4 linked regions of the Rhinolophus ferrumequinum genome follow. The protein of the gene in region 3 binds, or shares a complex with, the protein of the main gene of each other region. Links are inferred from orthologs where the notes say so. Each region holds a gene or a part of one and is shown on either strand. Other genes may lie near its edges. The genes, in order: RBL2, RBL1, MYBL2 and E2F4.

The links.
Region 1: MYBL2 (region 3) and RBL2 share a complex: the UniProt entries of both Homo sapiens proteins name them as parts of the DREAM complex. The link is inferred for Rhinolophus ferrumequinum from reciprocal best matches to the Homo sapiens genes MYBL2 and RBL2.
Region 2: MYBL2 (region 3) and RBL1 share a complex: the UniProt entries of both Homo sapiens proteins name them as parts of the DREAM complex. The link is inferred for Rhinolophus ferrumequinum from reciprocal best matches to the Homo sapiens genes MYBL2 and RBL1.
Region 4: MYBL2 (region 3) and E2F4 share a complex: the UniProt entries of both Homo sapiens proteins name them as parts of the DREAM complex. The link is inferred for Rhinolophus ferrumequinum from reciprocal best matches to the Homo sapiens genes MYBL2 and E2F4.

The regions. Positions count from the first base shown.
Region 1 is NC_046298.1:7,167,742-7,174,566, forward strand, and holds the start of RBL2 (retinoblastoma-like protein 2), read left to right. Parts: upstream 1-3,818; 5' UTR 3,819-3,938; coding exon 3,939-4,178; intron 4,179-6,281; coding exon 6,282-6,412; intron 6,413-6,825. UniProt on the Homo sapiens protein: Key regulator of entry into cell division. Directly involved in heterochromatin formation by maintaining overall chromatin structure and, in particular, that of constitutive heterochromatin by stabilizing histone methylation.
Region 2 is NC_046306.1:18,788,063-18,795,587, forward strand, and holds the start of RBL1 (retinoblastoma-like protein 1), read left to right. Parts: upstream 1-4,517; 5' UTR 4,518-4,644; coding exon 4,645-4,800; intron 4,801-7,525. UniProt on the Homo sapiens protein: Key regulator of entry into cell division. Directly involved in heterochromatin formation by maintaining overall chromatin structure and, in particular, that of constitutive heterochromatin by stabilizing histone methylation.
Region 3 is NC_046306.1:13,696,783-13,703,716, reverse strand, and holds the start of MYBL2 (myb-related protein B), read left to right. Parts: upstream 1-3,926; 5' UTR 3,927-4,121; coding exon 4,122-4,141; intron 4,142-6,934. UniProt on the Homo sapiens protein: Transcription factor involved in the regulation of cell survival, proliferation, and differentiation. Transactivates the expression of the CLU gene.
Region 4 is NC_046298.1:16,922,204-16,929,506, forward strand, and holds the start of E2F4 (transcription factor E2F4), read left to right. Parts: upstream 1-4,303; 5' UTR 4,304-4,479; coding exon 4,480-4,614; intron 4,615-5,050; coding exon 5,051-5,160; intron 5,161-5,300; coding exon 5,301-5,462; intron 5,463-5,780; coding exon 5,781-5,824; intron 5,825-6,543; coding exon 6,544-6,605; intron 6,606-6,816; coding exon 6,817-7,114; intron 7,115-7,303. Other genes in the region: EXOC3L1 (exocyst complex component 3-like protein), read right to left, coding at 87-212, 348-465, 544-1,156, 1,698-1,917, 1,999-2,174, 2,379-2,424. UniProt on the Homo sapiens protein: Transcription activator that binds DNA cooperatively with DP proteins through the E2 recognition site, 5'-TTTC[CG]CGC-3' found in the promoter region of a number of genes whose products are involved in cell cycle regulation or in DNA replication.

The sequences.
Region 1 (6,825 bases), on a different chromosome or scaffold from region 3:
TTAGCTTTTGTTACCTTTGCTTTTGGTGTCAAATCCAAAAATTAATTGCCAAGACTGATGTCAAGGAGCTTGCCACCTATGCTCTGGGACTTGTATGGTTTCAGGTCTTATGTTCAAGTTTTTAATCCATTTTGAGTTGATTTTTGTGTATGGTGCATGATAAGGGTCCGGCTTCATTCTTTTGCATGTGGCTGTCCAGTTTTCCCAACACCATTTATGGAAGACTGTCTTTTCCCCATTGTATATTCTTGGCTTCTTTCTTGTAAATTAATTGGCCATATGTGTATGGGTTTATGTCCTCTCTATTATGTTGCAGTGATCTATTTGTCTTGTTTTTAATGCCAATACCATACTGTTTTGATTATTATATCTTTGTAATATAGTTTCAAACCAGGAAGTGTGATGCCTCCAGCTTTGTTCTTCTTTCTCAAGATTGCTTTGGCTATTCAGGGTCTTTTGTGGTCAATATTGATTTCATGGACTCAATCATTAATGTCCATGCCCTTCATTCCAAGCAAGGCCCTTCTCACAGCCGATGGGGCCTTGACACACATTTCCCACCACCGCAGATACTTAGTTTGCAAGTTCCCCTAAAAAGAGAAGGGAGAAAAGGGGCTACCAACAAACAGGTCATATGGTGACCCCAGTCTAAAGAAACATCTTATAGCCTGAATGCAAGAAGGAAAAGAAAATGGACAAAAATGTTTTAAAATGTAGCAATAAAAAGCAGTTGAGGGTGTGTAGCCCAATATCTACTGTCATAGGCCGTAATTGTTTATGACAGAAAAGGCTCTAAGGGCATGTTGTTTTTATTCCAGAGTACCAAGGCTTCCCTATGTGTTAAGTAAAGCTAATTGTTTGTAGTTTATACTGTGGGTTGAATTTTTAGCACAACGGATTCTCATTCAAAATAAGCAGAGCTGGTAGGAGGGGTCGACCTGCGGGGCTCATAGTGTCAGGCCATATTGGACAAGAATAGCTGAGTGGAATTAATCACAAAATGACGGTTAACTCAGGTCTCAACAAGAGACTTAAAATACCAGGTAAAATGTAACTTGGCCTCAGCCCTGCTTGGGTAGATAGCATCCTCAAGTGGAAATTCAAAACAAATGAACAGTTTTTGCTAGTAGCAACACATGTAAAAATATATTTATGGGAGACCCATATAGTATTGTAAACTCAGTTGAAACCACATTCTCAATAATAGCCATTTGATAACTCAGTCTGGAAGGAATTGAACACTGCCTAATGATCACAGGGAAATAAATTTAAATTTCAATGTGTCTGGGAATGCAAGATGATAGACCCACTTTCAAAGAAATTTGGCAGTGTCTTATAAAGTTCAACATTTACCACACAACCAGCAATGCCAATCCGTCTTAGCCGGTTTGGGCGCCTTCTCTGCGTGCCCATGGTGGCCCTTTCTCAGTCCCTGAGTGTGGCCTTCTAAGGCCACCAATCCTATTGGATTAGAGCCCCACACTTATGACCTCATTTAACTTCAGTTACCTACTAAAAGTCCTATCGCTGAATGCAGTCACACTGGGGGGTAGTTTTAACATGAATTTTGGAGGGACACACATTGGGCCCATAGCACACTCCTAGGTATTTACCCAAGAGTAATGAAAATTTCTGTCATGAAAACATGCACATGAATGTTAAAGGAGCTTTTCTCATAATCACCAAACACTGGAAACAATCCAGATGTTTTCAACAATCTTTAGGGGCTTTAAAAAAAGAAAATCCAATAATTACTTAAAGGCTCAAATAAAATTTAAACTTAGGAAAGAACTAGAAATTAGGAGCGACACCGACAATGAACTTTGCCAGAAAGGCCCTTGCTATTATCCTTATTTTTTTAGATAAAAACCAACTGTTGAATGGATAAGTGTTGGGACATTCATATAAATATGATTTGCCAATAGAAAGGAACAACTGACACAAGCAACTTGGATGGATCTGAAAGGCATTATGCCAAGTTGAAAAAAGCTAGAATCAAAGGCTACATAGTGTATGATTACATTGTATGACATTTTGGAAAAGAGGGAAAACTATGGGGACAGAAAACTGATCAGTGATTGCCTGGGGATGTGTGAGGAGGGTTTACTACAAAAGGGCACTAGGAAAATTTTAGGGTGATGGAAATGTTCTATATCTTGATTGACTATATTAATTTTGACTATTGGTCAAAATTCATAGAACTGGACGCTTAAAAGAGTGAATTTTACCATATGCAGATTAATATCAGTGAGTTTTACAAAAGAACAAACAGAAGGATACTTTGTACATACATTTTTGATGAAAGGAAATATGAAAGATCAAGAAAGGACTTTCAAGGACAAAAGATTAGGATACAATTTTGTTAGGATAGAACAGGAGTGTGAGGTAAAGGAGAAAAAGGAATGATATCAAATTGCTCATTGTTAAACGAAAGTTTTGTAAATGTACTTTTTAAATGCATTATAGTATCAAAGTGCTATGACATTTAGAGTCCATTGGCTTGGAAAATATTGATAGTGACAAGCAAAGAATATTTTAATAAGACATTTGATGGTTTATGACCAATTTTACTTCAATTACATTAATTACATTAAATTTTACTAAAAAGGGTAGAGTTTTACCTCAATAAAGAATTTAAATTTTGGGCCAGCCCGGTGGCTCGGGGTTAGAGCTCCATGCTCCTATCTCCAAAGGCTGCCGGTTTGATTCCCACATGGGCCAGTGGGCTCTCAACCACAAGGTTGCCAGTTCAATTCCTCGAAAAGAATTTAAGTTTTACTTCTAGTAAAATGTTGATGATGGTATCCAAAATAAGCGATATGTCATTCTTTAAAAGTTTAGTATCCCCAGCCCAAATATAAGGAAAGTAGCAAAATTTCTTATCAACGTATTTACAAATACTTATAAAGCAGTTGTGTCCCACCTCTGTTCTTGCCCTTGATCATCTTAACTCAGCACTGAGAAAACAAATCCAACTCTACCGTGAATTTCAAGGCAGGGTGTACAAATAGGATTTCATCGTCTCAAAATTGTTCGTGAGGCATCTGTTACCTTTCCTTAGTTCCTTCTCTCCTACCTCCAAGTTTCCTCCCCCTCTTCTCTCCTGCTCCTATTAAAGCTTCCCTAAACTGCTTTTGTCCCAGTATTTCTTTTCCTCGGTTTACATAGTATCCCACTGAGCAATGACTTACGGCTTATCAAGCATGAAAATGTTTTATAATATGCCCATTTATAAATCTTAGAGGATTGGCAATAAAGTGATTCAAGTCTATAGATATGAAAATAAAGCAAAACAAAAATAAAGCAATAAAGTTAAGCCAACTGGGTGACTGAGGATAGTACACTCAATGTCACGGTGAACGTATATTGGCCCTATTGGGGGAGGGCTTTTAAAAAAGAAAATCCAATAATTACTTAAAGGCTCAAATAAAATTTAAACTTAGGAAAGAACTAGAAATTAGGGTAGACACCGACAATGAACTTTGCCAGAAAGGCCCTTGCTATTAACCTTATTTCTTTGATAAAAACACCAAGGTGATGAGTATTCTTTCTGGGGACACCTTGGATATTAAACCTTCACGTGTCAATTAACGTTTCTTGGACGTTTTCTCTTCAGTAGAGTCCTGCTGAGTGGTCTCAGGATGGGGAGGTACTTAAAATGTAGAAAAGCCGCTTTTATTTCATCCCAAAGAATACTACGAAAGCAGATTTTTTTTGGGGGGGGGTGGGGAATGATTTTTGACCCCCTTGGCTCTCCGGCCCAGACTACGTTTCCCAGCAGGCCATGCTCAGAACTACGGGTGCCTACGTGAAGTCAAGCGCCGTTAGCGGCGGCGCAGTCGCCGCATAAGTGGCCGACGGGCGGGCGCTTCGCGGTTTGAATGGCTACGGGCCCGGGCCCTCAGCTCACCTGAGGACCGGCCGCCCAGCGGTGCGCGATGCCATCGGGAGGCGACCAGTCGCCGCCGCCGCCGCCACCCCCTCCGGCGGCGGGAGCCTCGGAAGAGGAGGAGGACGACGACGGCGATGCTGAAGACGCCGCGCAGCCGGCCCGGTCGCCGACTCCTCAGACCCAGCAGCGGTTCCACGAGCTATGCAGCCGCCTCAACATGGACGAGGCGGCGCGGGCCGAGGCCTGGGACAGCTACCGGAGCATGAGCGAGAGCTACACGCTGGAGGTGAGCCCCGGGGAGGAGGCGAGGGGCTTTCCGGGCCTAGTCGCCGTGCTCGCCGCGAGAACGGGGCCCCCTTCTTACCCCGGGTCGGGCTCCTCGCCGGGACTCTCCGGCGGGTCCCTGGTCTCCGGGTCTCCAAACTGGAGACGGATGGGAATCCTCCCTGTGCACCTTAGTCGTGGAAACCTGGCGATTGAAAGGCTCTTGGTGTTCCCAAAGGGGAACCCTGTCTTGCTGTTCTTCCCTTTCGGGTTGCGAATGGGGAACACCTCTTGCCCTAACGTAGCACCGCGAGGGTTACAAAAGGACAACTACCTGGTCGGCAGAACGAACAGGTGCACTTGTCAAGCCCGGGCGGAGAAGGGACGGACGTTGTCGGTGTCCGCACCGAGATTAACCCTTTAGGGTTTCTAGCCTTCCCCTTCTGCTCTTTTTCTCCTGCACCGCATCGCCTTAGTCCAGGCGTTGCATCTGTTTGTTTGAGGAAACGCGTTAAGTTTCCGCCTGGGTTCGCGTATGTGTCAACGGGAGAAATCTCCGGGGCGAAGGAAACGGGCTTTCTGCCTCCCTGGGTGTAGACACACGCCCCCATTTGTCACTAGGAAATGAGGACGGCGACGACCTTGAGCACCTTTCGGTCCCCCAGACAGACATTGCACAGGACTCTCGTAGTCGCTGTGATGTAGGCATGTTATGGCCCTTTCTTCAGACGGGGCTTGCAGATGAGAAAAATGGTCTTGCTAGCCAGTGAGACTCAACTCTGTAGGCACCTCCCCTTTATGGGCCAATGGGAAGTGACACGGAAGTCTGGATTGTTTATCAGCTGTTTCATTGCGTGTGTGTGTGTGGCGTTCAAACCGGAAGCCACATGATTTTCTTAGGTTGTTATACGGGTTGTGGAAAGAGTAGGGCAGATAGGCTCAGAATGGGACGGCCTAATCAAGGTATTTATAATAGGATAGTTCTGCCTTTGTGTCACTAAGGTTATTTTTATTTATTTTTGCCTTAATAGGATTTTCATTCATTTCCTTCTCCCTATTGTTGTATCTACACAAGAAGAAACAAAAGCTAGTAATGTAGTAGCTTTAGAGCCTTAAGTGACTTTGGACAATTTACTTAACTACCCCCAAACTCAATTCTGTGATATGTAAATTTGAGAGATTTGTATCTACCTCACAGAGCCGTCTGAAGGTTAAATAAGGTAATATGTAGTTTCTGGCACATAAAGCACTCAGGGACAGTGCTGTCCAGTCTGCAAAGCTCTTTCATGTACTTAGGTGATCTGGCTGAATAGGCCATGTTCCTATTTATTTCTCAGTGGTTCCTGTGGTCAGGAAAAGAGAAGGACTCTTTTTTTGGTGATGGGCATTAAGTGCCTCCAAATAAGCTCTTACTTTACCCTCAGGATAATCCTGTAAATTAGGTAGAACAAGCGTTATCTCCATACGGTTGAGGTATTTCAACTCATAGAGGTTAAAGTCCTATGAAGTCCAGTGTTATATAAGCAAGTGACAAATAATAGATGCTTCGTAAATAATTTTTGAAAACATGTTTGATCACTCAATTTCTGGCCTGTGGAGCTTATAGTTGGGTACGCTATAAGATAATATTATATCAGATTACTGTATTACATAATATATTACATATTACAGAATACTGGTTACAGAGTTTTATCTTTTGATTTCTTGTATTGTCTTTGCTTCATACTTGTAACTCATTCAATTCTCACAGTCCTCAGATAAGAAAATTGAGCTTCTGTGACTGTTAAGTCATTTGCTCAAGGTATTCTACTCCCATATTGGGACTCCCAAAGCCCAGGTCCTGTGAGAGAGTCAAGTGGAATCTGTATTGCCTTTTATGATCTCGGGAAGTTACATAGCATCACTTTCGCCTGTGCTATTGGTTGAGACAGTTCAAAATGAGGGAATAGAGACTCCTGCCTCTCAGTGGAAGAATGGCAGTCACATTAGAAGAGCACATGGGATAGGGCCATCATTAAAAATACAATTCCCCACACATATATAAATATTCCTTTCTATTTAAACATAAGATTTTTGTGTTGAAATATATATAGCTCATTAGCTAACCATCAATTTTCTTTTACAGGGAAATGATCTTCATTGGTTAGCATGTGCCTTGTATGTGGCTTGCAGAAAATCTGTGCCAACTGTAAGCAAAGGGACAGTTGAAGGAAACTATGTATCTTTAACGAGAATCCTGCGATGTTCAGAGCAGAGGTAACTATGTTAGAGTTTAAAAAGTAGAATGCGATTAATATAAAAGCCCATAGACCACAGTAAGAATTATCTTTGTTCATCATTTTCTGAGCATTTGTACTTATGGCGTGCTGAACTTTGACACTAAGTCATGGCTCTCCTTTACCACATCTCAGTTAGTATCCATTATGTTTTACTTATTTGGTGAAAAATACTTAAATTTTAATATATTAGGCACTTGTATGAAGAGTTTACTATTAAAGGTTGTGGCTCATCATTCTATAATATTGGAGAATTCTGAATAAGGATATTGAAAAACTTTAGGAAATGTTCTACATTGAAAAGATTAAAAAACTATTATATGGTATTAAATTTAGAACTACACGCACAGGACTTGTATCTTAATATATATGGAATGTGTAAATACTTCTAAG
Region 2 (7,525 bases), about 5.1 Mb from region 3:
AAGAATGATGTCAGGACTTGCCCCACCTCCACCCCTATCAACTGCTTCTTTTTGACAGTTAGATGGTTAGGGTTTTTTCCTAAGAGGGGCATGTACTGATCGAGTACCTATTTAAGGGGCATAGCAAAGCTGGGGGGCAAAAAAACTTTTTGAACGAATGTCAAAATGAAATAGCCATGTCGAGAAAATTTTGAGGACTTTCTTACACTTATTTTGTTGAGAATTGTTTATATTTTGCATTACATTTGGGAGAGTGTACAGTATAATCTTTTTAGTCTTGGAGTCTCAAAAAGTCTTAATCAGGTTCTGGATACAGGCCCTGGGGAACTCTGAAATAGTAAACCACAATAGGGAGGTTAATCATAGAAGGGATCACACAATGAGATCAAAATAGAAACAACCTTCGTGATGTATCTAGATCAGACATGAAGGCAGAGTAAAATCTATTTCACTACCCATACTTCATTTTCTAGTCAAAAAAGCTCAGCTTAGTGCTAAATGGGCATGCCACTGGATGTTAAGAAGAAAAAAAAAACCAACGTGAACCCTGATAAAAAAGGTAGGGCCAAAGGAAAACAAGAAAGCATGCAAGTGAGGCTGGCTCTGACAGATGTGTCCTCAATGCTAAGCTGCCTAAATTTGATTGCACTGGTAATAATGAACCCCTGAAGAGTCTTGAGAAAGTGACATGCTAGAAATGCTGCTTGAGAAAAACTAGAGTAGTAACTAAATATAAAATGGGTTGGAAGAGAAAACATAAAATGTTGAGACAGCTAGAAACCTGGTGGAGGAGGAATCCACAAGATTTAGTGTAGAGGATGAAGGAACGGGGTGTCAGTGATAACACAGAGGACAGCATGGGCTGGGTTTTTTTTTTTTTTTTTGGTGAGTGTAGCAGTACTGTTTATTGAAAACTAATGACATTGTTCAGGTAGCATCCAAAGGGGGGCGGGGGCAGGAAGCCAGTACTGTTTAATTCTGCTTTAAAGGAAATAAGGGAACTCAGGAGTATTTTCCTTTTATTTTGGCTTCACTTCCAAGGCCTATACTTTCTAATAATTCAATTCAGGACAGTCTGAGAATGACGACATGGCAAAAGGAAAAAACCACAGAAGCAAGTGATTGGATGTAAAGGGTAACAGGTCAGGTGAATCAAGAGATGGGAGATGAAAATGCAAGACTTTACATAGACAGGATATGACTTATTCAAAGTCCAAGTTGAGAGTCCAGATTCAGCCCGGAAGAGAAGAAAAAAGAATAATGTTTAATGTTTCTCAGTTTTTGTTTGTTTGGTGGATGACCTTTGAGAGGTGTTTGTTTCTTTTGTTCTTGGATCATTTTCAAGCCAGCCATGCCCCTCAGTTTGTATCTGGATGATCTGAAAGTAACAGCAAAGGAAGAATCAGTATCTTGCACACAGGAGGCACTCAATAAACATTTGTGGAATGAAGAAATGTTTTTTAGGAGTTAGTATGCGTGAACTGGGAAAAGAATCAGGAGGATGAAATCTAATAGCAGAGAAGAAATGGGCTATAATACATATACAGCAACTCACTGAAATCCAAACCATCTCTTTAGAGAGATGAAAAATGGGGCGATGAGTCCCTGGTTTTGTTGGTTTATAATCCCTGACAGCTATTTCCTTTTGTATTGGTTTCTTTTCAAGGCCAGAATCACCCTCTGCAGTTCAAATCTGGAAAAAAAAAAAAAAGAGAGAGAGAGAGATTGATTAGTTATGGCAAAGGCAAAAAAACCTGAGGCTTCTTAACTCTTGTGATCTTGTCCACGACCCGCTGTGAAAGCCAGGATTGCATACGGAAGACTCATTTTTTTGTGTTTCCCCATCCTAGAAAATACCCTTCCCTTTGCCTCTCCTCCACCAAACTTCTTAAAGAGAAGTTTTTACTTCCTGCTTCAACTTTCTGACCTTCCTCCCCTTAGCCTCTTGGCGATAGTAATACGGCTTCCAGCCCCAGTGGGCTAAAGAAAACTGCTCTGGCAAAGGTCACTAAAAATATATGAATGATAATATATGAGGTCTTTGAATTCCTCATCCTATGTGAATTCTCTGCAATGTTGGACTTATTTCCTGACCTCTGAAATACTGCTCTTGTTTTTATACCTCTCTGGCCAGGTTTTTTTAAATTTTCTCCCCAAATTCTGCCCATCTCTGAATTCCACCCTTAAGTCTTTTCTCATGCCATCACACTCCCTCATACGAACCTGCTCCCTTCGCTTCATGTACTGCCTGAATATTCCCAAAATCTCCCTGTCTAGTCTGTGTCCCCACTCCTGGAATGCTTTCTTAAATAAGTACAGTAGGTTTATTAGGAAACAAATGAACCACTGCAGGAGGACTTGCATCCATCTCACCTGCACTAATCCTGACATCTCTTTGCTGATCGGAAAGGAAGTTAGGAGGATTGATAACCCGTTACAGACCCCTGGGCACTGGAGATAGACCTCCCTACAACTGCCCATAACCAATCCTCTAAGCAAAAACTCATAGGAGAGTCTGTTACAGACACTATGTGACAAGAGAATATGAGATGGTCCTACAGTCAACTGCAGTAGCTTCTAGAAGGGAGCAGAGTTGGACGTGCCACATGGGTGGTTGGGTTTGAGTTTGAGTTTTTGGGGGGAGTTTGAGTTTTTACTCATTGGAGACCCAGCTTGCAGCTGGTTCCCTAGTCCCAAAGGGCCACCTTCCAGAGTCCAACAGTCTCTCCTTAAACTTCCCGCACGCAGCATAAACACAGCAGTTCTAGAATTGGTCTGATCCCTCTGCTTACACTCTCATTATAGTTCACAGCATCACCTTTCACCCTCTTGGCCCAGATGGAAACGTGTTACAGGGGCTCCTTCCTCTTCAGCAGTGCCCCCCTTCAGTTCTAGGCCAGAGACCTGTCTCCAGGTTGGCTCCTGCGTATACTGGACCAGTCCTCTGCCATCTCCATACCTCTAGTCTCTACCCCACCCAATCCATGTGTCACACCGCAGCCAGAGGAACCTGTCCAAAACACCGACCATTCATCATCACCTTTCATTAAAACCTTCACTGATAATGTCCAGGCTTTTAGTGGAGCATATGAGGGGCTTTGCAACCTACCTTGCCCTGTCCCATTTCCATCTCTGGTGACCTCTTCCCTCATCCAAGCAACAATGGGCTCTTTGTAATTTCTCAAATACAACATGCTAAGTATTGAGTACCAACTACCAGCCAGGCGCTAGTCTAAACTTCGGAATATAGTGAATATGAAAGGAAGGCCCCTGCTCTCATGCAACTCACATTTGAGTAGGAAGAGCCAGTGAATACACAAGATAATTTCAGATAGTGATAAGGTACAATGAAGACAAATGGGGTTGGAGATAGGGTCAGCTATTTTAGGTACGGTGCTCAGAGATGGCCTGAGAAGGCCACAATTAATAGTTGAACTTGAATGAGGAGAAGCCAGACAAGCAAAGATCTGGTGTAGAGTATCTGGGGCTGTTTGATCAGTGTGTGACAAAGGCCTTAACGTAAGAACTTAGCTTGGTAGCTTGGCATTTTCAAGGTTCCAAAACAAAGCAGTGAGGTTGGACCTTATTACATACCTGGGAAGGGAGCGGAGAACATGAATGAGGCCAAATCACATGGGGCCTTGTGGCCATACAAAGGAGCCTGGATATTTTAAAGGCAAGACAAACCTATTGAAGAATTTTGAGTGAAGGACTAACGTGCTCTGATTTACCTTTAAAAAGATCACTCGGGCTCTTCATGAAGAGGGGGTTTTGGTGGAGCAGAGGGTAAGCTTCAAGACCAGTTCCACGCCTTCAGGCTTATGCTCAGGCCATTCCTAATACTGGAAAGACTGTCTTTACCAGGACGGTTCCCAGGGCCCAGGGAGCTGAGAAAGGTCCCCCTTACTGCATTTCTCTTAGTCCAGATCAAGCCTCATTTAGCGATCAAGACATGGCGAGGTGTCTCCGACCATCCTTGCCTCATCAACCCTTCAGTCATTCAACAGACCACTCGCTGGGCGCTGGAGTCACTGAGGAGACTCCAACGAGCCCCCCATTCCCACCCCCTACTCCCCCGCTGTCAAGGGACCACTTTTTTCGGTTCCCTACTCCATCTCTAACACAAGGGGTAAGTCTCAGACTGTTTGGCGCCGCAGAGCAGTAACAAACCAGGCCCATGCGTTGGCGGGACAGAGGAGCCTTCTTCCTAAGATGAACAAGGCCACCTAGTAATAGCCCCAGCCCTATCCCACACCCAAGAGCCGCGGAGACAAGAGTGGCGCCGCGGGCTTCGAGGTAGCATATGGACTACAACTCCCAACAGACTCTGCGCGCGGACTGCTGATCCCTCCGCTCCCAATTTGTCCTGCCAGCTGTGCCCACAGCTGCCTGCCGAGGGCCAAGACCAGGTTTTTTTCAGCACCCGAGGTCCGTCTTCTAATCACATTTCCTGAGAGGGACCGCTGGGAGCCCTGGAGGAGAGACGGACTTTTTCGGCTAGAACGCGGATGCAGACTATCGTAGAGACGTCGCTCTAAAACGGCCGATTTTCGCGCGCTTTGGCGCGGGTAGTTGTGGGTAGGGCGCCCAAGAGGGAGAAAGGAGCCGGGGGCTGTGATCGCGCCGCCCGCCGGGCCTGAGGGGATGTTCCAGAACAATCCCCACGCGGAGGGGGCGACGGTGGTCGCCGCGGCCGGGGAGGCGCTGCAGGCCCTGTGCCAGGAGCTGAACCTGGACGAGGGAAGCGCGGCCGAAGCCCTGGACGACTTCACCGCCATCCGGGGCAACTACAGCCTAGAGGTGAGCGGCGGCAGGTGGGACGGCGGGGCTCGACCCTCGCCAGGCCCCACCTCCGCCCCGCCCCTACCCTACCCTACCCTATGGGGCGGTGGGAGTTTCCCCACCGAGAAGGGTCGCCGCCCAGCCGGGCGCTGCAGAGTGCGAAGCTGGAAGGGCGAGTGCAGATCATGCTATCCTTTTTTTTTTTTTTTTGTGAGGCGGGAAACTGAAGTCCGGAAAAGGAGGGGTTTGCCCAAGGTCACACGCCACTCAGGGGGTCCCATAGACTCCACACCAGACTTCCCCCCGTCCTGCCAAGCGCCACAAACGTCACGTTACTGCGTTTAAATCTATTACAAAACCAAATACTATAATGAGAAAAGCTAAAATGAATTGTGTGCCAAGACATCACTGCCCAGCGCTTTAAGTATGTCATCTCACTTAGTTCTGGCTACAACCTCTTGAACCCGTTCTGTGATCCCCATTCTCTCAATGAGAAGCTGAGCTCCAAAGAGGTTAAGTTACTTGCCCAAGGTCACGTGGTTAGTGGTGGAGCCAGACTAAGGAGTCCGAGCCATTTAACCTCTCCACCCTTACGCCTCCCTAGGGCGGAAGTGTGGGTTACTCACTTTGAAACCAATGTGCATTCATACAGTGCTACCTCTCAGCTCCAGGTTCCTCCTCTCTCAGATGGGGATACTTAGATTATCCTGATGCTTTCGCACAATATCAGGCCATGACATAAAATAAATGTAGACAATCATTATTAGATTTTTCCTAGTCATTCTTGGGTTTAGTCCTCACGATAGCCCTGTGAACATGGCAAAGGAGTGTTACACCTGTTTTCCAGGTAATAATATTAAGGCAAGCATAAGCCCAGTGTACAGATAGAATTGTGATTGAGTGTATTTCAGCAATGAATCCAGTGGCCTTATATTCAAAGGCTTTCATGATCCTAGGGGGCCGGACTCAAAAGGTAGAGTGCTCCACTGACTCACCACCCAGTGAAATAATTAATTGATGGATTTAAAGGCAGAGTTGGAAATTTGGAGTTGAGTGTACGTGTCTATATATAAGGGAAAAGTACCCAAGACTCTTGGATGTCTCCATAGTAGCTCTAGATATACTGGGTAAAAGACAGTGATCTGCATCCATGGGGAACGTGACTGGAAAGCTGGGGAAAGAATAAGAAAGTAAGGAAGGTTATGAATTATTGTCTCAATGAAAACAACTGATTTTTAAAAGCCCGAGAAAGCATCTCTGACATCCCAGGTCCTCACTTAGTCTCTTAGTGAATAAGCTTTTACTGAGTGCCAACTGTAGTCAGGCCATTAAACTAGGCACCTCTTTCAGATTCTTGAATATGCCAAGCTCGTTCCCACTTGTGTGCTTTCTCCGTGCCATTCCCTGTACTGGGAAACTTCCCTCACTCACAACTCCAGGGAAGATTGAACAGCTAGATCTCCAGTTAGGCAGAGTTGATCAGGACCTCTTAAATTTTCGATTTAGAAAGCCCATATGTGTGAATTAAGATTTCATGAGTGTTGATTCTATCCACAGTGTTTTATTTTCTCTTTTTTCATTTTTGTTTGTTTTATGGTGAAGACTCTTGCAGTAGGCATCTTCATATATCTGCTGCTTCGTAAGAACCCTTCCCTGCAGCCCCTACGCCTCTCTAGTCCACCTGACCATCTCCTGCATACATTTTCCCTTGCTCTTCCCCTGCTCTCCTTACATTTTGGTGATTTACCACTTACCAATTTTAAGTCTCCCTCTGTGAATCCTCCCCTGACCTCTAGTCAAAATTATACTCACTACACTGTATTTTCCCACAACACGTTATTTTCATTTCTTACAGCATCTATCTGACCAATAATAGATAATAATATCTGTTCTTCTTGGCTCTAGACTTGGAGTTCCCTGAGGTCAGAAACTGTTTGTATTTCTAAGATCTAGCATCAAGGAATTAGAATAAATAATATAGGGAAAAAGTAATTCCAGTACTTAAATATTCTTTATCTTAATGTTGTTTTCATCTAGTAGCGTGTATCCAAAGGCTCTATAATTCTTGGATACTGGTTCCAAATAATTCATTACTCAAGGATTCTAAAAATATACAGCCTTAAGACTACCTGCCTCATTTAATGCCTTGAGCAAATAAGACTTCTCACTACTTTAATGTAGGAACACTGGGTTTTAGTTTAACTTTATTGGCGGCCACCCATTTCTGTCCACCCCTTTCGGATTATTGCAAGAAATCTATCAATCTTTTTATCCTTCTAGAGTCTAGTCTTAAAGAGGATCTGTGGAACAGTAATAGGAGCAGTTATTTGTTACTCTGAGATTTGTGTCTAACTCTTAAATTTCACGTATAGTTCAGCAGTGAAGTCATGAAGTGATTCTAGCTTGGAGATATCTCCAGTCTATGTCAGAGGATTAAGTGTTCAATTCCCAAATGTCACCTTTTTTTGTAGCATTGTAAATTGAGATATCTGCTAAGATAGACATCTATACTTACTATAACATTTTAAAGATTGGGGTAAATAATTTCCCCAATTTTTACCTCATAAAAATGAGTGTCTTTTATGTTGTGCAAGATAGGATTAATATTTTATGTGTGATTCCCTTGTCATCATTCCATTCTGTTCTTACCTTTCTCTGCCAAACTGGTTAAAAAAGAAACATAAAACTAAAATGGTAGAAAGGGGGGCAGCCAGATGGCTCAGTTGGTTAGAGCATGAGTTCT
Region 3 (6,934 bases):
TATGGATGCCTTCTGGCAAGGATGTGTTTCCCCCAGCTTCTGATGAAAAAATTGAAACAGGAAAGTGGAAAGACTAATACAATAAACACCAGTACCCACCATTTATTTTCAAAAACTAACATACTGCCATATATGCTTTATGTTAATTTTTCTTACTGAACACTTGAAATGAAATCGGATATAACACTTTACCCCTAAATATACTTCATTCTATAACTACAATATACCATTATGACGTACTATTTAATGCTTATTCAAATGCCTCCAAATTGTCCCCAAAGTATGTTTTATAGATGTTTTTTTCAAGCCAGGATCCAGTCATGGTTCACACATTGGATTTGTCTCTAGTCTGCCTACCTCTTTTGTTTCTTTTTTTAATGGCATTGACTTTTTGATGAGATTAAATTAGGTGTCCCTCACTCTGGGTTTATCTGATAGTTTCATCATGGTGTCTACTAACTTCTCCCTTTAGCTCCTTTATTTCTTGCGAACTGGAGGTTAGGTTTAAAGGCTTGACTAGCTTTCAATTAAACATTTTTGGCAAGACTATTTCATAGGTGATGCTGTGTATAATACGAGGTCAGATTGGACCTCTATTAGTGAAATGAAGTTGAATCACTTGGTTAAGGTAGTGAGCAGGGGTGCTTTAAATTCAAACGTGAACTATTAATATAAGAATGCCCTTTAACCCCAGTTGCTGTTCACCTATGTGCACGAACTTTTTCCAGCCTCTTGAGATGAAAAAGTTAACTGACTTGAACAAGTGTTTCAAGTTCATTCTTAAAAAAAAAAAAAAAGTTACAGTACTAGTCCTAGCAGGTAACAGCATAATTTTATTACTGGAGATTTTGTTGGAGTAAAATACACCTCTGACTGGAGAAGCATTAGTGTCAAAAAGAAGAGGAGATAACAAAGAGAAAGGGGAGATGTGTGTTGGTGACAAAACATCTTTTTCTTTCCCTAAGAGCAAGGAGGAAATTTTGTGGTATCTTATGATTCATAGATCTAGTTGGCTTTCCTTAGGTTACTGTTCCCTAAAAGGTCACAGGGCACTACATATGCCTTAATGAAATTTAAAAATTTCTTTAAATAAAAAAATTTAGGTAATAACTGAAAACGGAACTGAAGGATGAAGAGAAAGAATTTCACCCTCTTCAGGCATTCAGTTCCCCTTCGTGCAACCAATATTATCAACTTTTTTTCTCCGCCTTTAAGAGACAGGAAGAAATACACACTTTAAAAATAAAAATCTTGCTTATGCCAAATTTTAACATGAAGCCTACTGTTTCACCCCAGGGCTGCGCTCCTGCAGGCAGCCCATAATCTAATCCCGGAGAGACATTAACCTCCTAAGAGTAGAAAACGGTGACAAACAGCATAAAGGAAATTTGCAGTGTTAGGGGCTTGTCCAGAGCTGCTGACGCACACGGGGAGTCATCAGGGGAGGCTAGAGGCAGAATGGGGTCTACAGGGCTCCGGGCCGGGGGCGATTACTAACCGCGAACTCCTGTGACCGCCAAAATGTCAGAGGCCGAAGATGTACCCTCCCTGCTCCCTCTCATCCGCGGAGCTTTTCTTCCTCCGCACGACCCCAAAAGGCAGGCGTCAAGGGAGGTCTCCCAGCGACGATGACTCGGGGGGCGCGGGGCTGGCGGGATCGAAGGCAAGACAGTTGCGGGGGACCAAGCTGCCGAAACCCGAGAGGCTCCAAGCGGACCCCGAGCGCAGGCGCCCCCTGGTGACGTCAGGTAGCGAAGAGACTCCCGCGATGCCCCGCGCGGTGCCTGAGTCGGAGCGCGCGCGCCTGTAGTGGGTGCTTTGTGGGCGGAGGCGTGGGACCCGCAGTCCGACAGCACCGGGTCTTAGGCCTCCGTTTCCTTCCGGGCGCCTAGAACAGGTCAAGTCACTGCCCCGGGTCGTCGCGGGCGGCGAGAGACTGATGATGCTTGTGAGAGTACGTACAGTGTGCCAAGCAACTTCCTGAACCTCAACGGACAAGCATGAGGGTAGCTGAAGAGTAATAATAAAAATAATAACAACTAAAAGTAATATAGTACTTATTATGTACCACGGATTGTTTTCAGTGGTTTATACATTAATTTATTTAATCCTACAACCACCCGACAAAGTAGGTACCAGTGTAGTTAGTGATTGAGAGCATACACTGGAGAACTAGACAGCCTAGGTTTGAATCCCTGCTTTGCCATTTACTAGCAATGTGACATGGGGGGCGGGGGGTGGAGGGGGACAGGATACTGTGTCTCAGTTTCCCCATCTACCAAAAGAAGATAATATTAATACTACCTAATAGAGTTGTTATGAGGATTAAATGGATTAAAATTTGGAAAGCATACAGAACAGTGGCTGGCACATAAGGAAAAGCTATCTAAGTTTTTGAAAAATCTTATTTTTACAGGTGAGAACACTGATGCACAGAGGAGTTAAGTAATTTGCCTAAGACCACACAACTACCGTGTTTCCCTGAAAATAAGACCTAGCTGGAAAATAAGCCCTAGCATGATTTTTCAGGGTGACATCCCCTGAACATAAGCCCTAATGCGTCTTTTGGAGCAAAAATTAATATAAGACCCGGTCTTATTTTCCGGGAAACACGGTAGTAAATGATAGAGCCGGGAATCAAACTTTAGGAAGTTTGGCTTCAGAGCCTGGACTCTTAAATACTATGGCCTAGCAATGAAAACGTGATGTCCATATGAATTACTTTATGAGGGAGGTGGGTGACATAAGCGCTGAATTAATTGTTGTGGAAACTTCTAGCACTTAAGACGTCAGCGTTCCTTCTGCGGGAAATGAGGTTTACACCAGCTGGCAGGACTGTCCCCAGGGGTCCAGCAGTTTCTGGAAGAGGGGTCTGAGGCATACGCAGGGGCTAAGAAGGTGGGGTTCAGCCAGGTCTCCCCAGGCTCCTGTCTCAGAGTTCATTTACCTTGCTTTCAGCACTCGTCCCAGGGAGCAGGGTGTGGAGGGTACTTGGTAAATGGCAACTTAAAATGGAAAATCCTTGCTAAGCCTCTAAGAGTTTAATCACCTGAGTGGGAAACAGAATTCAACTCCACAGTTGAATTCTGGGTCTTGGGGATCCTGTGGTGAATGCAGGGGCCACTTGGACATCAGTATGCCTACAGTTCAAAGGGGAGACGCACAAGTTTATAAACAGATTGTGGGCAGTGAACCCCAAGGATAAATAGGAAATAGTCAGGTGGGAGGGGCAGGAAGTGTTCCTGGCCCAGGTAATGGCCCAAGCAAACGCAAGGAGCCCAGTAAGTTTCCTATGGTAAGGGGTGAGGTGGTGATCTGGCAGAATCCTATAAACCAGATTAAGGTGCATTTTACTCAGAGAATGAGGGCAGAGGTTTTAAGTTCTGGAGAGGCTAGATCAGTTTTACAATTTAGGAGGATCTCTCGAGCTGTCAGGAGTCCATCCGAGGAGCCAGAGCCCCTGAATTCGAGGCTGGAGAGGAAGCAGGGAGACGGTTCTAAGGCACAGCCCTGGTTTAGGTGAGTTGGCCACCTTGGGGCGGGGAGGGGGGTTCTATAGACCGTAGGAGCAGCTTGGAGTAGTCCTGGGGTCTTTGCACGGATGGTATCCCCAGCCTGATTTTCCCATCCCTGCGGCTCACTCCGTATCCTTAATCTTGGCTGTGTGGGCTACTCCTTGGCGGCTCTGATTCACACATGGCGTGAGCCTCAGTCACTGGGCAGCGTGTTCAGAGCCCTGTCTCCCAAGGTGCCACAGGCCTTGTCCTACCTGCCCTGGGACTTCAGGGCTCTGGAGCTGTGCGCAGCCGGCCTGCCTGCCTACTGGGCCGGGGCTCAGCCCCGCCTCCACCAGGCCCCGCCCCCAAGCCCGCCCGCCCGCCAGCGCGCCAGGCCCGGGCGGTGCCGACGCGCTTGGCGGGAGATAGGAAAGTGCTTCTGCGCGCGCCGGCGGCAGCTGCAGCTCCTGCGAGCCGCGGTGGGACCTGCGGGCACGCTGAAGCCTTCCAGCGCGGCCCCGAGGCCCGGAGCGGCCAAAGCAGCCCGCGCTCTGACCCCGGCCCGGCTCCCGCTCCGGGCTCAGCCGGCGGGCAGGCGAGCGCGGCGCGGCCCGGGCCGGGGGGATGTCTCGGCGAACGCGCGGGTGAGCAAAGCCAGGAGGCTTAGGTCCCCTACCCACTCCCCAGGTCCCATCCTCCTCCATCCCGACCCCTGCTCTACCCCCATCCTCATCATAGTCCCTCCGAGCGGGCGGGTGTGGGGGTTTCCCGCGGGAATGCTGAGTCCTGGGCCGCCCGAGGCAGGGGGCGCGCGAAGCCGGGGGTCTCTTTGGGCCCATCGTTCAGTTTCCCAAGCCTGCTGGGCCTCGGAGCCGGGGCGGGCGGGTCTCTTGGGCCCTGGGCCAATCCCTGCATGATGTCATTTTGCCTCCCGCCTAATTTCGGGTTGGGGGTAGGACGGCGGTGTCCGCTGGAAGAGCCATGACCGGGGAGGGAGGCGACCCCTGGAGAGGGAAAGGGATTCTCTAAGTCACAGCGCGCGAGAGGCCAAACCTGGAAGACACTTGTCGTTCAAGCCTCTTTGGGTTCAGATTTGCTGGTGGGCGGTTTTTCTCAGCATTCGGGAAAGTACAGAGCACCCCAAGTCCTCTCCCCGGCCTAAGAAGAGTGCCGGGGGGTGAGGAGGCCCTCTTTTGTCCCCCACCACCTGGGATCGCGGCCCCAGCTGGGTTGAGTTTCAGAGACTTAACTGCTCCACATGAGGAGTTTTGGGCAGCTGGAGTTAAAGGTGACGGACGAGGAAGAGAGACTGATGTGTATCACGACCTCTCTGTGCCAGCAGCCCCTGGGGCCCAGGCAGGAACTGCGGTCTCCATTTTACTTATTCCCCTGGAGAATAAGTGGTAGGGTTGAGCCTGAGACCGGGTCTGTGGGCTCCAGGTGCCTTTCTTACACCTGTGTGCCTGGGGCTTGAGCTCTGGGCTTTTCAGCCAGCCTGGGAGTCAGGGAGGACAATGAGCTCCTGCCCTGTGCCCTCCCTGGATTCATGCAGCCCAGATAACCTTAAACCCCTCTCTGGATGGTGTTTGCCTTCTCAGGCTGAGGATATCGACTTGAAAAGCACTCTTTGCAGGCTTTCCCCAGAGTTCTTTTCAGCACAGAAGCATCTGATCCCTGGGCAGTGGTCAGGGTGCCTCTTCCTCAGGCCACAATTTCCTAGGTCAGCTCCACTCCTCAGGAGTTCTCTGGTCAAGCACTTGTCAGACCCTTTCCTGATTTTTGGTTCAGGGAGTGTTACTCCAAGGAGCCATAAAAGCCAGGCCTTCTGCCACTTCTCCCTGGGGCTCAGTGTAGGAACCCCCTCCTGCACTCTCACCCCACAGCCCTCCGCTTCATCCTTGGCCACTTGCTGTAACTTCTCTGCACTGGTGCCCCACTTCCCGCTCAGCTTCTGACTCACCCCACCTGGAGCAGAGCCCAGCACATCCAAGGGTGTAGAATGGGTGTGTTGGACCTCCACGTGGTTGCCACCACTGACTTGGCTTCTGCCTTTTCAGCTGGGATTACTAGGGGAGAACTTGAAAGTGTAGGTTTGGAGCCTCGCTCAGTGGACTTGGCAAGTGGCCTAATTCCAGGGAGCCTCAATTTCCACATCTATTAAGTGGGGATAATGAGAATGCCTGTGAAGTGGATGGTTAGCACTATATTGGTGATAGAAGTTTATCTCAGAATTCGCCCAGCTGAGTTGTTGGTCCCATTAAGTAGAGTATCAGAGCATTAGAAAGTGTAGAAAGACACTTCTTCATCCTTGAAGGAACATCTGCTGAGCGTCTATCAGAAGTTGGGTGCTAGGGAACCAAAGGTAACTGTCAGAAAGAGGTCTGGGGGTAGTTGATTTTAAAGCCAGCTTCATTCATTCTGTTACAAGTATCTTGTAGAATTTTTGTCTCCTACTTTGCAATGGAGGACCCCATGAATTTGGTCAGGAATTCCAGCTCCTGTGACTAATGTATTGCTGGGATTAGACACTCTTAGACCCTTCCTTTTCTACTTCTAAAAATTTTATTTTAATTGCTATTTCTTATCTACTAATAGGCAACAGCTTTGTGTGTTTATTCATTCATTTCAGTACCGGGCATTCCCTGAGCAAACATTTAAGATCTTTTGATACCAATCCCCTAAGGCTCTGCAGCTGTGGAGGTGGAGCTGACCTCTGTGTAGATGTCAAGGAGACAGGTAGCCTAAGGGCCTACATTCTGAGCTAGGAGGATTGCCAAGGTGCCCTGGGAGCACAGGGAGATACTGACTTCTGGAGAAGGGGAAAGGAAGTTGAGAAGGAAGCCCTCTTCCTTCTTTTCACACTGGGCCTGTACTTGCCTTGCCTGTTTGGAGAAGTGTAGGCTTTTCTCACTTCCAAATGGCTGACTTAGGAATGTACCTGACTGGTGACCTGACACAGGTCCCACTCACCACAGGGAGTTGGGAGCTCACTAACCGGGGCACACCTGACATCACTGGAGGTGGATAATCATTAAACCTGATGAAGATTTTAGAGCAACTTGGAAAATTGCCTGCTAGAAAATAAAAACATCAAGAATTCAAAAAGTTGATTTTTCTCTCCATAAATTATGCCTGTGTGTTCCCAAGGATTGAGAGGGGATATGCAAAAATGGGCATAGTTAGTAAGATAATGTATTTTAAAATGTTTTTCCCAAATAACCAATATTTCTTAAAATTCTGGCACTTGATGATTGCATATGTCATCAGCTTCAATCCTTAGACTATCCATGCAAGTTTACGAAGTTTTGTCACTGAAAAGAGAATATTAAATGGGGGTCGGGTTTTGAATATCACAATATTCTTGGTGAAATCTCCACTGCTTTTTCTCTTGTAGCTTTTGACATCCTGTTCTTGAAAATAAAGAAGACAATAAAAGA
Region 4 (7,303 bases), on a different chromosome or scaffold from region 3:
ATGGGCAGCCATTAGCAGAGTCCTAGTCCTGCCCTCCTCCCCTTTCCCTATGGGAGCTGCCCACCTGCCCGCCACTTCCCACTCACCTGAAGCACGATGGCTGGCATTGGTGAGTGGTAAAAGCCAGATGGGTCTGTGTCAGGCTCCTGCTCCCGGCCCCACTCAGCTACTTCCCCATCCAGTGCTTTCTGCAGCCACTGCACCACATTTGCCTGGGGGAAGGGATGAGGGGCAGCAGGATATAGCAGGGCACTGACCCTGCTAGAGACAGTTAGACATGTGACTTTGCAAATACAGGCACACAACTGGTAGCAGAGCTTCTCTGGACCTGGGCCCCAACTACTCACCTGGACTTTGGACACAAATGTTGCCTCAAGCTGCTCAATATTCTCCAGGGTCAGGAGGGGCTCCAGCTGAGACACGTCAGCCTCAGGCCCCAAGTCCAGGCTCCCCATCATTTCTGGCCTGGTGATAGGTGGCCAGTGTCACACTGAGCCTGCAGCTTCCGATCCACCCACTTCCCATTGCCCAAAGCGCACTGACCCCAGGTACACATGTAGTGCCCAGTGCAGTAAGGTGAAGGCATCAGCAGCTCCCAGCTCAGGCCCTTCCAGGAATTGCTGTAGGCAGCGGCGCAGGCCACTATGCAGGGTGTGGGCCCATAGCTGGACCACCCTGTAGTGCGGTGGGCAGCAGGGTGCTATTAGTGCCTCAGCTCTGGCCAACTCGGCTGGTAGAGCCACCCGCAGAGCCTCCAGCCACCCTGCTAGGGCCCCTGGCCCAGGCAGCAGATGTGTCCCAAAGTGGACCTGCTCCAGGCCCTCCTGTAGTGCCCGCAGACAGCGCTGCCGCCAGTCCCGGGGGGCTTGCTCCAGGGAGGTTGTGCGGCCCGTCTCCACCTCCGCCACACGCACAGCAGCCACCAGCAGGGCTGGGTCCTCCCGTGCCAGCTGTCCTGCGGCCCCTACAGCCGCCTCCACAGCCTGGCCCAGTGCCTCCGACAGAGGGCCCAACCCCTCGAAGATTGGCAACTCCAGGTGCCCCAGAGATGCCCATGTCTCCTCTTGCAGCTGCTCAAGCTCCCGAAGGCTCACATATGCCTCCAAGAGCCGTTGGGCATCAATCAAGGACTGTGTGTGGGCCACTGCAGCTGGCACTAAGGAGGGAAAAGAGGAGACCGCCCTGGGTCTCAGCCTTCCCACCTGTGCAATGGATACAGGATCAGATGCGGAGGTCCTGGGGCTGGGATCATGTGTAAAATATTTAATAACCAGTATAGTAGAGCATTAGCCAATCTGAAAGGATCCACGGAAGGTCCTAGAGGCCTGGTGGGCCAGGGGTAAACCCTTGAGCTAAAGGAACATGAGGAAGTCAGGGATCCTGGAAAGAAGGCAGAGAAGAACTGGAGGATCATTCTAATGGCTATTCACCCACTCTGTTAGGGAAATATTTCAATTTAACAACAAGGATGGCCAGAGCCACTTGACTGGGTGTCCTTTCTGACTCAGACATCCCATGCTCAGGAACACCAGAATGAGCTAATTTGCACCCTGCTTCATATGCCATCTGAAGCCTGAGTTACTTTCTGGGAGGTTCCTGGTGTGGCCCGCCACGCAATCTCCCACTAGTGTCCCAGCCCCTTGATGGGTGTTGACTGACTATTGGATGGTTGAGGCCCAGGGCCCCTGCATACTCACCTGCCTGCAGCCGGGGCAGCAGCTGAGACAGGGCCTGCAGTTGTTTGTGCTGGCTGACCTGCTCCCGCAGGGGCTCTAGTGCCTGTACAGTCTCGACCATGCCCCGGAGCAACCCATGGGCCTGGCCCAGGGCCTCACGGGCTTCCTGCATGGCCTCAAGGCCCTGGGCCAGCTGCCACACACCAGTCTTCACACCCTCCAGGTATGACTGCACCACTGACTGTGGGAGGGAGGCAGCCAATGAGGCCTGGCCAGCCCTGCCGCCCACCCCCAGCACTCTTGCCCCCTGCCTGATGCCCACCTTCATGCGTGCTTCCAGGGAGCAGGTACGCTGCACCTCACGGCTGCGGTACTGGCCCAATCTGGCCAGCTGCTCCGGCCGGTAGAAAATGCCTGAGGCCCACTTGAGTGCTGCACCCCGGGCTAGCCGCTCCGCCCTCTCCTGCTCCGGCCACTCAGGCCCTGGGCAGGAAGAGCCTGGGCAGCCATGTCAGTTGGGCAGGGCCTGAAGGAAGCAGCTGCCGAACCTGCTCCCCTTCCTGCTCTTTAGTCTGGCCCCCAGGGTGGTCCACTCATCTCACTGACCCATAGAGCTCCAGCCAGACTTGGCAAGGACCCAACCCCACCATTCCCCTCTTTCTTGCCACATCCCTCTCCCAACCCACCCGGAAGGTCTCATACCAGGGAGAAGTGCAGGCTGCATTTCGTTCTTGGTTGTTGAGTCCATGGCAGGCCCCGCAGGAGCTGGAGCTGAGGTGGGAGTCGGGGCAAGAATGTGGGTTAGAGCAGGCAGAGTGGATGCTCCTTTGAGATGCAGGTTCTCCCTAGGCCCCTCCAAGGAGGAAGAGGGAGGTTCTTGTCCAGCCCCCTCCAGAAATGCAAGGGAGGTGGTATGACGGACAGATACCCGGGAAGCCTTCCCCTGCTGGGTTTCTTAGTTTTGCCCTGTGCAGATGCCAAGTGAGGCAGGGTAGGCACAGACCTCCCCTGCTGAGTGGCAGAGGACAGTCTGGTATGGAACTCACCAGGCCCAACCAGGCATCCAGTCCTCCGCCCTCCTCACACAGCCTTGGCCTTGAGATGGCCCTCTCCCCGCTGCCCTCACAGCAGAGCTGGACACTCCCTCCACTAGCTCAGAGGGCCTGGGTGGCCCTGGCCCACACCTCAGCACACAGCAGAATTCCTCTTCCCAAGGAAGCCTGTGTCCTACCTCCCTGCCCAGGCGCCCCTTCCTCCCTCCAAGCTCCCTCCCGCCCCAAGGCCACGTAGAGAAAGGAAGGAAACTGAAACTCTGGCATTTTATTCCCAACAGGAAAGAGCATCTGCACTGTGGGATGGGGTGGGGAGGGCAGGGCGCCACTTCCTTGGGGGGCGGGGAGTCCACCCAGGACCTCTTAGTGCTCAGGACACAGACGCGAAGCAGATGGCCTCAACCTGGGGTGCAGAGGGGGTTGTGCAACATGGACGCAGACAACAATGTCACAACATGAAAACTGTGTTGATGGGCCCCTCAGAGGAGGGTGTGCACCTCTACAGAAGAGTGAGAGATCACAGGCTGCTGTGAAGAATGCTTGTGGTAGGTGATGGCAGGAGAGGGGCCCAAGGGGTATGAAAGCTGTTTATCTTGAGAGTTAAAGGGGGCCACAGAAGGGACTACAGGGTAGTTAGTAATAATGTAGTGGTCATTGGTGAACCATCCAAATCTACCCTTCAGGACAAAGGCACTTGTTCCCCTAGTTGCCAGGAGTGTAGGCTGCTGAGATCTCACAGCTGAGTCTCTGGGTCAATTTTGAGGTACAAAGGCCCAGTACCTTTGCCTGGATGTGGAACACCTTGGAAAGGCCACCCTAGTTTCAGAGCCTCTCCTAGTAGGATGGGCTGAGGCCTCTATTTTAACTGCCTCGCAGTTTAATTCCTTCTCTGTCCAATTCTGTTTGTCTTACTTCCTTATGAGCGTGGATCCTCCAATAAAGGGATTTGCAGGCAGATCCCTGTCTCAAAGTCTGTTTCCCAGAGAACTTGATCTAAAATGAAAAATAATAAATGATAAATAATGACAATGTTAAAAATAACAAAATGATACCAGCAAACACATAATTCTTCCTACATGCCAGGAACTGCTTTAAGTACTTTACATATATTTATACACCGGTAAACATGTTTGCATAGGCTGAAAACTGGTTATAATTCCATGGTCTCTGACCACTGCAGTATGGAGACGATGAGGCTGGAATCAGGGAAGGGGAAAAAGGATGGAGACAAGTGGACAAGCTAGATATAGTTAGTGCTTTTGTTTGGCAGAAAGTGAGGTATGAAAATAGGGTGGATGACCCCAAGAAAGTAGGGCAGCTTCCAGGAGCAGAATTGGGAAAACATATTGGGTTCATTAGGCAACATGATCTCTTTTCCTAAGATGGGGGGCTGGGACAGAGTTAGTGGAGTTGGGGCAGGTTGGCCAGTCAGGAAGGTTCTGGTGGCTCCCCTTTTTCTACTGCCGGGATTGCCCACCGACTTGTTCCACATGCTTCTACACCATGTCCTGTCTCCCGGGATTTGCGGGTTGTTTTCGTCCTTTTCGGCGGTTGGACATTTGCTGATGGTCCCCGAAGTTTTGCGACCGTGCCGGCAGAGAGGCATTGCGCCAGGTTCCCTGGGAGAGCGCGGAGCGGAAGCGGAAGCAGATACGCTGGCGCCGGCGGCGGGGTGGCCAGGAACGGAAGCGGAAGTGGCGGCGGCGCCGGCCTGGCCTGGCCTGGCTGAAGGGAGGCGGCAGGCTGGCGCGATGGCGGAGGCCGGGCCACAGGCGCCGCCGCCCCCGGGTACTCCAAGCCGGCATGAGAAGAGCTTGGGACTTCTCACTACCAAGTTCGTGTCGCTTCTGCAGGAGGCCAAGGACGGCGTGCTTGACCTCAAGCTGGTGCGGCCCGGGCTAAGGGAAGACAGGGGTGAATGGTGGACCAGGCCTGGGCCGGTAGCGGGAACCCCCGGGGCGGCCCAGCGGAGCCCTCAGAGAGCAGGCCACCATCCGTGCGTTTTCTCAGAGGAAGGAGGCCGGGAGCGGTTTCATTCATTCGGCCGAGGCCATTGGGTGTCCGCTATGTGCTAGTCTCCGGGCTGCAGGTGCTGATCCTCGTGGCCCTCCCCGCCTGGTGTGGGGAAAAGAGCATCAGCATATCAGTCCAGGGTGCGCCAGGCCTCTTCCCGCCCCGCGGTCCTGAGTTGCTGTAGTGCCTGGGAGGAGGGTTGGGACCTAATCCACCCCCTTTTCAGACCGCTCCAGACCAAGTCACAAGGTAGCTGGGGGTACACCTGAGAGTGGGGTTGAGCATCCTCCACTCTCTTCTGTGTGCCAGGCAGCTGACACCCTAGCTGTGCGCCAGAAGCGGCGGATTTACGACATTACCAACGTGCTGGAAGGTATTGGGCTGATCGAGAAAAAATCCAAGAATAGCATCCAGTGGAAGTGAGTGGGGGCACCTGGGAGGGTAATGGGATCTCCTATCCAGAAGTGCCAGGGGTGGGGGGTGGAGGGTGCAGGAGAGAGCAGGGGCCATGGGACCCAGAGTTTCCCAGCAGCTCCTCAGCCCCACTCCCTGCACTCAGGGGTGTGGGGCCTGGTTGCAATACCCGGGAGATTGCGGACAAGCTGATTGAGCTCAAGGCAGAGATCGAGGAGCTGCAGCAGCGAGAGCAAGAACTGGACCAGCACAAGGTGTGGGTGCAGCAGAGCATCCGGAACGTCACAGAGGACGTACAGAACAGCTGATATCCTCCTGGCAGTCCATGCTCCCGGGGAGTGGGCGAGGGCCCCTCTAGTCATCTGGGTTTGCTCTGTGGTGCCCCGGGCTGTATCCCTCTTGGGAGGATGGTCCTGCAGCTTCTGGCCAGGTCCCAGCCTCCGGCTCCCCTCTCAGAGCTCCTCTCCCACCAGTCTTGGCCTGTGATCCGTCTCCGCATAGACCCCAAGCCCCAGTACTTCTGAGGGCTTGTATGACAGACCTCTCCTAAAGAGCTGGGTCTTCTCTGTGGTCTGCCATCTGTCACCATAGGCAGGGCCTCAGTCGTTCTCCTTAACCCCCACACCTTGGCCTACGTGACTCATGAGGACATCTGCAGATGCTTTGCTGGTGAGCAGAGCCTGGGTCGGGGGAGATGGGGGTGGGGCTGGGCTGAGCCACAGCCCTGAGCAGTGGGCTCAGTACCCAAGGAGAGTTACATCTCTTCAGAGGGTTCCTGGGGCCTGCCCAAAGAGGAACCAGGCAGGGTAAGTCCTGGGTTTGAGGGTCACTGGGATCCTGTGGAGGCTAACCATACTAAGAGGGTACAACAGTCGTGGGCTGGGTCCCTGGGTCAGCCCCCATCTGCACCGGCCCCTGGTTTTGGCTTCTCAGGTGTGATGGGCATAAGGGGGGGTGGTGTGTGCATGCTTGTATGCTGAGGGCAGTGACTCCCACTTTCAACTTATAGTTTATTGCATTATGGATACAGGAACTGTTCTTTCTCCATCTTGCACCCCACAGACTGGTTCTGAGGAAGGGATGTTGGCTTTGGCCAGAACACCTACACTTAGGGAGCAGCCCCGTCAATTGAGGAGTGAGGTGCCCCTGGCCAGCAATCTTTCGTCCCACATGTTTGAATCCAGATTTTCTGGTTACTAACCACCCCCTGGGCTCTTGGAAGGAGACAAGCTTTAGTTCTCTGCCTCAGCCACTGTGGGGGATGGGTGAGACCCCCTGTCTAGCTTCTCAGAGACTGTGATTTCCTTCCTTGCTCCAACGGACAGGCACCCCTATTCCCAGCTCAAACTGAGTCCCTGGAGCCTGACCCATTCTCCTTGTTGTTCTAGGAGACACCCTCCTGGCCATCCGGGCTCCATCGGGCACCAGCCTGGAGGTACCCATCCCAGAGGTGGGTGCTCAGACCATGCAGGCGGGGTTGGTTGAGGGCGGGTGCAGGCTGTAGAACCCGATAAGTTCCGGGTGGGGCAGGTAGGTTGAGGCCTGGGGTTCGGGGTTATCTAGGAGAACGGGCAGCCTGGGGTGGGAGAGGACACTGGTCCTGGCCCAGAGTCAGGCAGGAGCCAAGACTGCTTCCAACTCCTCCTGTCCCACACCCCCAGGGCCTCAATGGGCAGAAGAAGTACCAGATTCATTTGAAGAGTGTGAGTGGCCCCATCGAGGTGCTGCTGGTGAACAAGGAGGCATGGAGCTCGCCGCCTGTGGCAGTGCCTGTGCCACCCCCTGAAGATCTGCTCCAGAGCCCACCTGCTGTCTCTACCCCTCCAACTCCACCCAAACCTGCTATGGCCCTGACCCAGGATGCCTCACGCCCAAGTAGTCCCCAGATGACTACCCCCACCTGTGTACCCGGCAGCATCGAAGCCCAAGGGGTGACCAGTCCATCAGCTGAAATCACAGGTGAGGCAAGATGGGCATCTGGATGGAGTGATCTCTGGGGCCCAAGAGGCAATACTTCTGTATTGTGGGATGCCATACTCGGAGTTGTAAGAGACCCTATGGGGGTTGTCCCTTTCATGGCCACCAACTGGCCTTCCCTTGCGATGGCGGGGGAGCCCTTTTTAACAGGCAAGCTCTGACTGTGAAGGG